Callithrix jacchus: one gene and its partners. The protein of the gene in region 3 interacts with the protein of the main gene of each other region in a biochemical or structural test. Links are inferred from orthologs where the notes say so. Each region holds a gene or a part of one and is shown on either strand. Other genes may lie near its edges.

Region 1 (3,038 bases), on a different chromosome or scaffold from region 3:
AGATGGGAGGATACCAGAGGGAGGACAGCAGAGGGAGGAGGATGGCAGAGGGGAGGATACCAGAGGGAGGACAGCAGAGGGAGGAGAACGGCAGAGGGAGGAGGACGGCAGAGGGAGGACAGCAGAGGGAGGATAGCAGAGGGGAGGACACCAGAGGGAGGACGGCAGAGGGGAGAAGAGCACAGGAGCGACCCTGGCGGAGCCCAAGGCAGTGGGGCACGGGTCACCTGGCCTGGGAGGGTAGAGCTAACCTGGAGGAGGGCCCGCCTGTATAGCCCCCAGGGGCCCATGAGGGCTTTGCTTACTTTTGGTTCCATGTAGGCGGGGGGGGGTGGGGGGGGATACCCAGAAAGCTCCCCAGTTGACCGGGAAGGCAGATGCCAGGGGTAGGGTGAAGAGACAGGATCCCCCCCCACCACCTCAGGAATCCACGAGCTGGGAGCAGCCAGGGCGGTGCACCCCCCAGCACCCTGCTCCCTCTCACCAGGCCCCTCATACACAGTCCTCGTCCTAGGGGCTCCCAGACCACCAGTGACCTGCGGGGCTGTGCGGCGCAGCTGGGACCGCCCGGCGGCCAGTGACCCCTCCCTCCTCTGTCCCAGAACGACTGGATGAATAGAAAGCACACAGTCAGGTTAGGAACCAGACGTCTCTTTATTTTTTTGGAAAGTTCGTCGATGGGCTAACAAAATCACACCTGCCAGTTTGGGTGACACCTCTGGCCACCATGCACTGGGCCCCAGGAAGAGACCACCCTGAGCCACGGCCCTGCAGGCAAGCAAGGGACAGCCGCCCAGACTCAGCCCAGTAACTGAATTCACGGCTCCCCTCCAAGCTCTGAAGGGTAGCAGTCTGGGCTATAAAACTCCAGAAGCATTGCGTAAGAAGTGTTAAGTCTACATCTTGTAAAAACTCAATAAATTATATATATAGATATATATAAACTTGTAACATCTAATAACATCTGACCTGCACACAAGGCCGGCCCCTCCCTGGAAACCGCCTCCCGGCCTGGGACACGCAGCAATTAGAGGAGTTTGTGAGAAAATACCAGCTTGCTTTGAAGTCCAAAAACCAAATCTCCTAAAAAAAAAAATCCTATAGAAATCTAATTCTCCTGCAAAAGGAGGACAAAGGAAATAAAATATCCTCGCCAGCATCCCCTCCAACTATGAACCACCTCGAAGACTCAGAGGGGACCCCCCCCAGCCTGGGGCAGGCTGGACGCACAGTCTATAGGCGGGATAAACCTTCTCGGCTGTTAATAAGTTAAAAATTAAAACTCTCCACCCTGTGGCTGGCTAAATAAATGCTACAAGTGTTGGGGTATAGGAACAAGGTGCCGGGGCCATAAATAGCTTTACAAATGTACAGGTCCAGGTACAATTTTAAAACAAAACCAATGCCAGAAACGGCCCTGCTCCTCTGCTTGTATGTGAGACCCCTGAGGCCTCCGCCACGGCCCGGGGCCACGTCTGCCTCCTGCGACCCCAGGGCCTCGGGCCTCCGTTGTACCAGCCTTCTCTTCCATATATTTTATATATATATGTATGTATATATACCATATACACAGCATCTATTTATAGAAATGTACACTAGTTTCTGGAATAAACCTTTTAAATAAAAGGTAAAGGCTCCCACCTCCAGGTACCCGTAATTTCAGTCTCTGAGGGGCAGGGTGGGAATGAGGAAAGCCTGGATGTGGGGGGCAGTGCCACTAACACCCCCAGGCACAAGGTGCTCAACACGTGGGGCTTCCCTGCAGGCTCAGCTTTGGGAGTGGGAGGGCCGGAAGCCACCCTGTGATGCTCCACGATGCAAGAGCAGAGGCCAGGGTCACATCAGGCCCGGCTCCCTGCCCCACGGGGGTCCCACAGGCTGGGCCCACTTACATTCCACACTGGGTCACCCCAGGTCAAAGGCCCCCTGGTGCTGCGGCACCAGTCAGGAGGCCACTGCATAGCAGCGGGGACACCCAGGGGACCTCTGCACCCGGAGGCCACAAGACGCACAGGCGCGCACACACACATGCACTCGCGCGCGCACAAAGGCCAAAGCTCTGTGTGGCCGTCTGTCCCTCTGGACTGAGTCTCGTGCCAGGGAGTGGCTGTGCACCAGCAGCAGGGTGGGCTGCTAGGGACCCCCTCACATTGTTGGGGACCCACAGCGGCCCTTCACGTCCGCGGGCCCCCACTGCCAGGTGGGGCCGGGGGCAGCAGGTCGTGGGCGAACACGGAATCGTCCCCTGAGGAGCTGGAGCTGGGGGTGTCCTGGCCACCGGGAGAGTACTGCTCAAACGGCGCCGACAGGTCCAGGTACTCCTGCCGCGGAAGGCAGGGTGAGTGCTGTCCCACAAAGCCCCTCTTCCCACGGCCACCGCTGTGCCCAGGCTGTGCCCCAGAGGCCCGCCCCACACCTCAGCCTTCTGGGGTAGGATGGCCAGGGTGGGGCTGGGGGGTAGGGGAGTGGCACCAGCCCAGGGCCCGCACTCACGTCGGTGGATGTCACAGTAAGGAAGCGGTCCAGGTCCTCCACCAGCTGCTTGAAGGTGGGCCTCTGTGAGGGCGCAGCGTGCCAGCACTCCCTCATGATCATGTACCTGCAGGCAGGGTGCTCAGGCATGAGCCCCCACCTTACTCAGGAATAGCCTCAGGCTGCCAGTCCCCCCCCCAGCCCCCAACACGCCGGAGGACCCAGGGAGGACCAGCGGTGCTGCTCACAGGTCGTGCGTGCAGTTGGCGGGCTTGTCCATGCGGTGGCCCTCCTTCAGCAGCTTGAAGAGCTCCTCCACAGGGATGCCGGGGTACGGGGAGCCCCCCAGTGTGAAGATCTCCCAGAGCAGGACCCCAAAGGACCAGCTGCAGAGATACAAGGTCAGACTGTCCTGAAACCTCCCCAGGACAGACACCTGGGTGGGCACCAGGGGAATAGGCCAGGGCTGCGCTGCTGCCCCCGGAGGGGTAAGAGACCAGGCCCAAGAGCCCCAGGGCACAGGTATGGGCTGAAGCTGGGTCCCAGTTCTGCCCAGTTACCGCCTC
Region 2 (4,341 bases), on a different chromosome or scaffold from region 3:
TCAGGGAGGAAACCGGGAGCCCGAGCCAAGGGAGGAAAATGGCCACTTTCTGCTCAACAGTCTCAAGGCTAAGGTTTTCCCATTTAGGTGGTATTCCAAAAAAAGCGCTGGTCCGGAGGTGCAAAGGGCAGGGCACATCTGCGGAGGAAACAGTCACCTTAATTACCACGTCTAGAGAAAGTGCGATTTCATTACAGCCTCCAAAACTACCGCCCAAAGAAGGAAACCAGAGAAGTGTTTTCAATTTGAAAGAGACTGGAAAGAAGCGGGTGAGAGACCGACTCTCCCGACTCTCCCCACCCTCCTGCAACTTTGGACCACAAGGTGCTTTCCTGCCTCAAAGACTATGACCAAACACAACTTGACAATCCAACCCCCGCTTTCAAACCTGTGGCCGTTATTTAAACGGTAAAATGTCCCACTTAGCTTCCGGGGATGTGGCCCAAATCAATCCTTAAAAACACAGAGAGCACCTCTGGCAACAGCCGCCCACGCCCCCCGGCCCTGCGCACCGGGCTCGCTCCGGGAGGGGAAGAAGGGGCGCGTGACGCCACCGCGGGGCGGCCGAGAGGGGACCGCGGGCTCCGGGCGGGGCAGGCGCTCCTGCAACTCCAACTGTAACTCAAGGGAAAGAAAGCAATGCTTTGGTTCCAGAAACTTCCATCGTCAAGGCCACTTCTGGCCAGACGCACGGCCAAAGAGCCCCCCTAGTCTAGCGGATGAACCGTTCGCAAGTGCTATCCCCTAAAACCTTGGCCCCATCTCCCAAGATGCCTCTTTTCTGCGCAATCCAGAAAGCACCCCGACCGCCGTCACCCACCAGCGGCGGCGAATAACTTGGTGGGAACTTAAATAACTCGGGATTCAAGGGAACTTTCTTTTCTCCCCTGAATCTCAATGCCGCATCTCCAAGTCTCCAGAAATGATGAGGAGAGAGGTGGTCAAGGCGAGTTGAAGAATCCGAGTTTTAATTTGGGGGAGGGGGAGGGGAGGAAGAGGTAAGTTAATAATGCGGCTGCGGTGTACCCGTGTGGGGTGAAACGGAACCAGATGCGGCCGCCACATCTGGAAAATGGGGATGGGGGAGGGCTAGGGGAGAACCGCACCGTGGAAATGTTCTTCAAACGGGCTGATAGCTTCTGGGCCCAGAACAAGAAACAGGCTTCACCCTCCCTCCCCCACCACCACCACACAAAGTGTCTGGCTGCCTCACAGGGGGTGTTCTATATGAACCCCATCTACAACGTCCACAAATTTCTCTGCCGACGTGGGTCGTAGCCTCCCTTTCTACCAACACCAAACATAACGGGAGGGGACGCGGAGCGCAGAGGGGTCTGGGCTAGACAAGCACACGCATCGCAGCCGAGTGAACCGCACCGGACAAAACCCACATCCCTTCCTCCACCTCCAAGAACCAGATTGGGACGGAACAGCCCCGGCCCCAGCCCCAGCCCCTGCCCCCGCCCCATACCTCGGCTTAACGACCGCGGGTCGTCCTCCCGTTCCCCAAACTTCCGACCCTTTCTGAGACCGTCCAAGTAGATCACCCCTTCTGGAAAGGGGAGTCGTTTTTCGCTTTCAGCTCAAGCAGATTCAGCCATTTGGTGACGACACCTCCTTAAAACGTATTCCAAGAGAAGCTAACCTAGCTCTCCACGTCCTCCGCATTTCATCCCCCCGCCCACTCGCCCCCCACCCGGACCCCAGACTTTCCCGGGGGTGGAAAAGGACTTAGGAATGTCACGGATTTTTAGCGTTGAGCCCAAAGCTACCTGCTGAATTGGGGTGAATCCCCAAAAGGGGACTAAGAAGAGATGGAGCGGAATGCAACACACACACACACACACACACACACACACACACCGCCCCCCTCGCCGCCCACTCCAGCCCTGTCCCTCCCGGGACTCACCGAGTAGCCGCCGCCGCCGCCTCGTCAGCTCCCGAGCGCGAGTTGGCGGAAAAGTTGGGCGGCGGGAAGACCGGCGGGACGAGCGCAGGGAGGGGGCGCAGAAGGCGACGCGGGCGGAGGGAAGGGAGGGGAGACCCAAGGGGGGCGCGGATTGCCGGGGAGGGAGCCGGGAGGTGGAGGGGGCGGGCGGCGAGCGGAGGGAGGCGCCGGCCCCGGCTGGGCTGCGGCGGGCGAAGCGCGCAGCCGGAAGGCTCCGGCGCCTGGGGCTGCTCGGGACGCTAGTCCGCCCCGGATCGGGGGCGCCGCGGCTCTTACCTCGCTCGGCGTGGAGGTTCGGCCTCGGGAGAGTCTGCCGTGGCTTGTGCGAGAGGGCGTGTGCCCGCGTCCCCGGCGCCGGCCCGCCGCCCCCGGGCTCTGTTCGGGTGCTGGCGGGGTCGCGAAAGCCCCGCGGCCGGCGCTCGACTCCCGGCAGCGCTCGGTACTCGGCGCCTCCAGCCCGAGCGGGAACAATGGAGCCGGAGCTGGTGCCCCGGAGGCGGGGCGGGGGGAGGGCTCCCGTCCGCTGCCCGGGTCTCCAGACCCTGCGCCCCCCTTCTCCGGAACGCAGCGGAGGCGCCTCACGCTCCTTGCAGACCAGGATCCATCGCCCCGCGGAGGCTCTGGCGCCGCGGCGTGCCTGACTGCAGCACGGGTACCGTGCGTCCTGCGGGGCGCCCCGAGCTCGGAGCAGAGAAAAGTCCTCGGGCTCCGCGGCTTTTCCAGCAGCGGCGCGCTCGCGGCCGGGGAAGGCGAGGTCGCCGCAATGCGCTACGCGGACTCTCGGTCCGGTCCGGTCCGGACGTGGCCGCCTAGCTCCTGGCACTGCCCGGGTTCCTCCGCGCCCTGCGGCTGCACCGGCGTCCCGGCTCCCGCTGCCTGCCGCCCGCCGCCGAGGCCGCCGAGCCTGTGGCCGCAGGAGCGCTCCGAGCGCTGTGCGCCGGCGAGGCGCGAGGGCTCGCCCTCTCACTCCCACCAGCGCTGGTCCCTCCTCCGCCTCCGCCCTCTGCCGCTGCCTGCTGGGCCTTGTAGTTCCCGAGCCGCGGCCCCCGAGGAGGGGGAGCGGGCCAAGCTGTCCTCCGCTCGGCCCTTCCCTTCCCGCAGCCTGGTCTCCTCTGGCGCTCGCGCCGCTGCATCTGAGCACGTCCCAGAGGGCGCCGGGATTTCAGGCCCTAGACACAGCAGCCGCGTGGGGGGCCAGGTGAAGAGACGCTGCAGCCCTGAGGTTGTACCTGGTAGCGTGGCCTTTGGAGTCTGTGCGCCTTGGGGAAATGATTTTCGCGCTCTAATCTCGGTTTTGCCATCTGTAAAAGGGGAATAATAGTGCTTTTCGTATAGAGTTGAGGCGTCAACGAGGGCCTGGCGCATAGTTAACACTTAATAAATACAAGCTGATTTTATTCTTGAGAAGGTCAGCCCCTCCTCAAACCCTTCCTTTGGATCTCAGCTTTCCCCAGCCACATAATTTAGGTTTTGTGGTCCACCGGGAACTGGACTCTGTAAATTCTTCAGCGATGTTGTTGGCCTCCGGAAGTCTCCAGCCTGCAGTGAACGTCTAGGAAGCAAAGAGTAAGCAGTGGGAGTTGAGGGGAGAGGTGTGGTTGGTTTGGAAATTAATCACAGCCCACTCAGAACACCCTCCAATACTATGGAACCTGGGAAAGTGGCTAAAATGCTTCCCCCTGAGTCTTCCGTGGAATGGTATAATCTAGTGGTTCCCTAATCCAAATGGACACGGGTCCTGTAAAGAACTCTTGAAAAATACAAATTCATGGGCCTGCTCAGACATGAGGAATCGCGCTGTCCCAGGAAGGAGCCAAGAATCTATGTTTTTTCCAAGGCTCCGTGGGGCCTATGATGTGAGCCCAGGCTGAGGCCACTGTTAGGGTGGGAAGCAGGAAGCTCTAGGGCTGAAGGATTCCTCCATTCTGTCCATTTATGAAGTTTGATGCAGGACAAGTCATGCATCTGATAAAATCAAAACAGGGGTATCTGTTGCTACTCCTTCACAAGATGGTCATAAGAATCAAATACAATAATAGGCATCAGTGTGCCAAAAATATTACACAAATAAATGTCACTATGTAAGTTAGTGGCAGGGCCTGTTCCCTCACCATCACCCACCTCAACCCCCAAATTTGTAAGAGTTTGAATACTGAATGAGATCCCCCACGCAACTCCTCCCCCATCCCACCCACTGCTCCTCCCCACCCCACCCCTGTTAATTTAAGAAATGGGTCCTCACATTATTTTTCCTTTTTTTCCCCCTTCTTTTCTCTTTTTTATTTTTTCGGAGACAGTCTCATTCTGTCGCCAGGCTGGAGTGCAGTGGTGCGATCCCAGCTCACAGCAATCTTCCACTCCCTAGTTCAAGCGAGTCTCCTCCTCAGCTTCCT
Region 3 (4,154 bases):
ACCCGAGCCAGGCGGAAAGGGAGCCGGAACACGAGCGCGTTTAGGACCGCGCGGAGCCGGCCGGGCCGCCACTAAGTGCGCCGCGGGGCCCGGGCGGCCAAGCGGGCACCTGCCGGCCGCGAGCGCGGGAGGGCTGGGGCTCCGGCCGCCTGGCACACCTAGGCCGACCGCCCACTCCGTTCGCCTCGACCGGCGCGGCTCCGACGCCCGCGAGTGGCCGACGCGGCCCCGGACACACTCACTCGCCCACCCAGGGCCGCCCACTGCCTGTTGTTCTGGTGTCGAACGCTAGGCACGGTGGCAGCCCTTAAAGAGGCCAGGTGGAAACGGCACTTTTAGTAAAAGTTTAGTCTTGCCTTTGCAACAACCAGAAGCTACCTTTACTAATGGGGTGGGGAGGGGATAGTTATATTTCAACTGAAATAATTGCAAAGCAAAGAGCTACAACTTTCTTTAAGCAGCGAGTGGAGACGCCCCAAGCAATTTCACACTACTAGGCTCAGCTGTGGGCTTAGGCTCCGGGGTGAGCACAAGGAGCAAATCCTGGGCCTCGTGGATCTGGGACTATCCCCCGCCCAGGCCTGAGTCCTCCTCACCTTCTGGCATCATCCGCAGCAGCACGAAGCTGAACATATAGTTTAGATTGTTTTCAACATCTGGCACTAAAGCGTGAGGAAGAAAAATCACCGCAGGACTTTGCTTTTTACGACCCAGTTTAAGTGTTGTCAGGTGGGTTCACTCAGAAGTTAACTCCTTCCAACAGTCTGGTTGCCCCAACTGGCGCTTAATTTTTTCTTTTTTAAGTAAGGAAAAAACTCGAGAGTCCACCCCATCGGGAGTGTGTTAGTTGACTTCGTGCTGTTGGGCTCAGGGTACCCCGGCAAGCACGTGTGTGCAGGCATAAAGTGGGCAGAGCCACCAGCCCTCCAGTCTGCAGCCCTCAGTGCTGAGTCACAAATACCCTCGCTGAAAATGAAATCCTCGGAATGCCCTTTAAAATTACCTCGCAACGTTTGCACGAGCGCACACACTCACACCAGAGAACCAAGCAAGAAACCCACACAGGGCTGCACGCTATGGAAATTTAAAAGCAGAGATTATCACTTGATAGCTGGGAAGAACAAACATCCCCAGCGAGCGTCCTGCCCCTTCCCAAGTCATTTTCCCAAAGCCTCTGCCCCCGGTTTTCACGGAGCCTAAAATATGACTTTAGTCCTCCCAACAGGACAATCCGTCAGCAACCTTTGTCTATAGGGCTTTCAGACCCTCACAAGGGGGAATAATCAATGCGCTTAATAAATAAACAATTCAAGCAGTATACTTATTACAGGAAAGGGGAAAAGTGAAAAACCTTAATTTGGGCACAAGATACCCACTGCCTTCAGGAAACTGTTAAGTTCTTAGTAGTTAATGATTAAAGCTTTAAACTCCTGCAATCGGTCCATTCAAAAGAAACTTCCTAAACCCGTGTATCTGATGCAAAAGAACTGGAAACTTGTATTATATTTATAAATTATGCCCCCCTTTAAATTAAAAGTAGGGGGCCTTTTGATGTATACTTGCATCAGTGCCAGCAGCAGATCTGCAATTCCGGAGGCATTTTTTTCTGAGCTGGCAAGACACAGAAAGAAAGAGAGATACCGAGAAAGAGGGGAGGAGGGGAGATCCCTTCCCACGTTCCCCACCCGGCCACCACCTTCTTGGTAGTTATAATTCCAACATGCCATCTCATGGACACTAAAGGGTTAATGGTATACCTACCGAATCGGCTGTGGTCTTTCCTGGTTCCCTGGATAGTACCATTGGGGAAGATTTCTAAGTGAAATCCAGTCCTGCAGTATAGCTGCCTCCGCCTGAGAATCCCCTTTAAATGATCCAAGTCCGTGACTGCGGGTCCCCTGGGGAGCCCCCCTGCGTCGGACTGACTCAGGTGGTCACTTAACAAAACCGGGCTCTCCACCGGCAACACGGGCACATTCCCAAACGGTACCGCATCCTGCACACCGAAATAGTTCCCAACTTCACCTAAGGGAGCCATCAGAGGACTCGGCTTTTGGAGCACAAGAATAAACGATAATGATGGTGTCAACCCAGGAGATATTAGGCGAGGTATATCCAACTCCCCTCCCTTACTGCAGTTGCAGAGAGAGAGGAAAAAAAAGGTTCTTTTCTTCAATCCATTAAATGCATAAATAAAAGTAATCTGCTGTTTCACTGGCACAGGTTCAAGGTCAAACCACTGATAGTCTAAGAAACCACCACTTTATACTCACACACTGACATATTGATAAACATATCTATGTATCGCTACAGATAGATCCCCAGCTCTTAGCAGGCAGGAAGGTCTTCATCCCATCCGACAGTAATAAGGGAAAAAAATCCGTAGTTTCTCCATTTGGTTTGAGATCAGAATGACCATAGCAACTTAAATGCCTAGGCGTTATTATAGGGATTTTTAAGATGCACGGGCTACGTCAGAATTTACGGATCCTGACTCCAGGAAGGCATGCGCTGTTTTTACTCTCTAACCGACTCTGCAGACATCAGCATGAATCCTTCAAGGGGAAAAAAAAATCTCACGTTGGTGGCGGCGACAAATCTCCCCTCCCGGTCCCCCCTTCAAAAAATGATAATAATAAAACAAAAAGAAACTTTAGGCGTCCAAAGCTAGTATCCAGGATTCTGCAGAGGCTCGGCAGATGTCCATTGGCTTAGAACGGGTGGCGAGCGGCGAGCGAGGAGAGCCGCGTCCGGGAGCTCGCGTGCCGCCCTGGCTGCCGCGAACAGGTGTTGCCGCGCCGGCTCGCGGAGCGTTGTAGCCGGGCGGAGCGCTCCTCCTGCGCAGCCCCCGCCGGCGCGCAGAGTGGCGCAGGCAGCGGCATTGGGCTGGGTTTAAGGTAGCGCCGCGGCCGCCCCGGCTCCCCGCGGTCCTAGCGCCCGGCCTGCTGCCCGCGCCACTCTGCGGCAGGCAAGGCGCGCCAGAGCGCAGGACTTCCTGGGGAGGCAGCCGAGGAGCCCTGGCTTTACAAAGAAAAGCAGATGAAAGATGCACTGCGAGAGGCGGGAGGAAGAAACCTTGAGTCTCCTGAGACTCGAAGTTCTGCGGAATGGAAGCCAATAACCTAAAATCTAGCTGGCTACACGGATGGAGGGTCAGAGTGAAACTGGGAAACTAGTTTTCACTTGGGCTCTGTAACCTTGCATTGCGTTATAGAATAAGACTGAGTGGAGAGAGTCGGAGGGAAGAGGAGTTGATTTAATGGGCTTGGATGGCCGTGGCAGTTTCTCTTCCATTCTTCTGCCACACACACACACACACACACACACACACACAGAAGCACAAACTGTGTTGCAGGTAAGACGCGGTTAGATCTGAACCCCACTTCCCCGTCACACACACACACACACACACACACACACACACACACGCAGATGAGGGCACCGTTTCGGTTTTGTTTGGAGCGTTCTGCTAGGCATCTTTGGGTCGGGGCTATGTTTAGGTCCCGCCCCGCAGCCCGGGTCCTGGCTGCAGCCAAACAGTCGGCAGGGGGGCGCCAGAGAACCTTCTCTGTCCCCGACTTCGACTAGGGCGCGCGCGTCTTCGGGGAGTCTGGGTCGAGGGGAGCGCCCCAGTGGACTTCCTCTCGCCCCCAAACCACGCTCCTTTGGAAGAGCGGCGACATCCCGAGCCCTACGTCGGCTCGGGGAAGCGAAGGGCGAGTTCTAGTGTCTCCCTCCAACCGCCCGAAGCCCGCGGTGGAGCCGGGAGGGCCGGACGCAGGATGTTCGCGGGGCGCCCCGGGGCCGCTGCCGCTCCTTCCTGCCCTCCGCGGCGGGGCCGCACGTGGAAGCCTGACCTCCGGTGCGCGGGCTCGGGTTTCTGCTCGCCGCCGGCGGCCTTCACGCCCAGCGGGAGTCTGGGACAAAGAAACCCGCCTCCGGGGGCCGTCCGGGGCCCTACTGGGCCGGGCCGGCCAGAGAAACTGGAGTCGGCGCGCTCTGCACCCGGGACAGCCTGCCCGCCACCGGATCCCCAGTGCCCGCGGGCGCGGAGCGCGGCGCCCCCGACACACACAGACGCTCGCCCGCAGCCCTCCCGCGGGGCCCTCCTTCCCTCCCCCTGCTCCTCTTTGTTCACATTGTCTTAGAAACGG

The links.
Region 1: the proteins of FGF9 (region 3) and FGFR3 form a complex in vitro, tested with the Homo sapiens proteins (3 studies listed by BioGRID and IntAct, with this or other methods). The link is inferred for Callithrix jacchus from reciprocal best matches to the Homo sapiens genes FGF9 and FGFR3.
Region 2: the proteins of FGF9 (region 3) and FGFR1 interact in a biophysical measurement, tested with the Homo sapiens proteins (2 studies listed by BioGRID and IntAct, with this or other methods). The link is inferred for Callithrix jacchus from reciprocal best matches to the Homo sapiens genes FGF9 and FGFR1.

What each region holds. Positions count from the first base shown.
Region 1 is NC_133504.1:191,344,228-191,347,265, forward strand, and holds the end of FGFR3 (fibroblast growth factor receptor 3), read right to left. Parts: intron 2,859-3,038; coding exon 2,721-2,858; intron 2,600-2,720; coding exon 2,494-2,599; intron 2,322-2,493; coding exon 2,175-2,321; 3' UTR 636-2,174; downstream 1-635.
Region 2 is NC_133514.1:39,299,183-39,303,523, forward strand, and holds the start of FGFR1 (fibroblast growth factor receptor 1), read right to left. Parts: upstream 2,885-4,341; 5' UTR 2,225-2,884; exon of another isoform or gene 1,910-2,224; intron 1,633-1,909; exon of another isoform or gene 1,472-1,632; intron 1-1,471. UniProt on the Homo sapiens protein: Tyrosine-protein kinase that acts as a cell-surface receptor for fibroblast growth factors and plays an essential role in the regulation of embryonic development, cell proliferation, differentiation and migration.
Region 3 is NC_133506.1:141,190,011-141,194,164, reverse strand, and holds the start of FGF9 (fibroblast growth factor 9), read right to left. Parts: upstream 2,869-4,154; 5' UTR 2,039-2,868; coding exon 1,762-2,038; intron 1-1,761.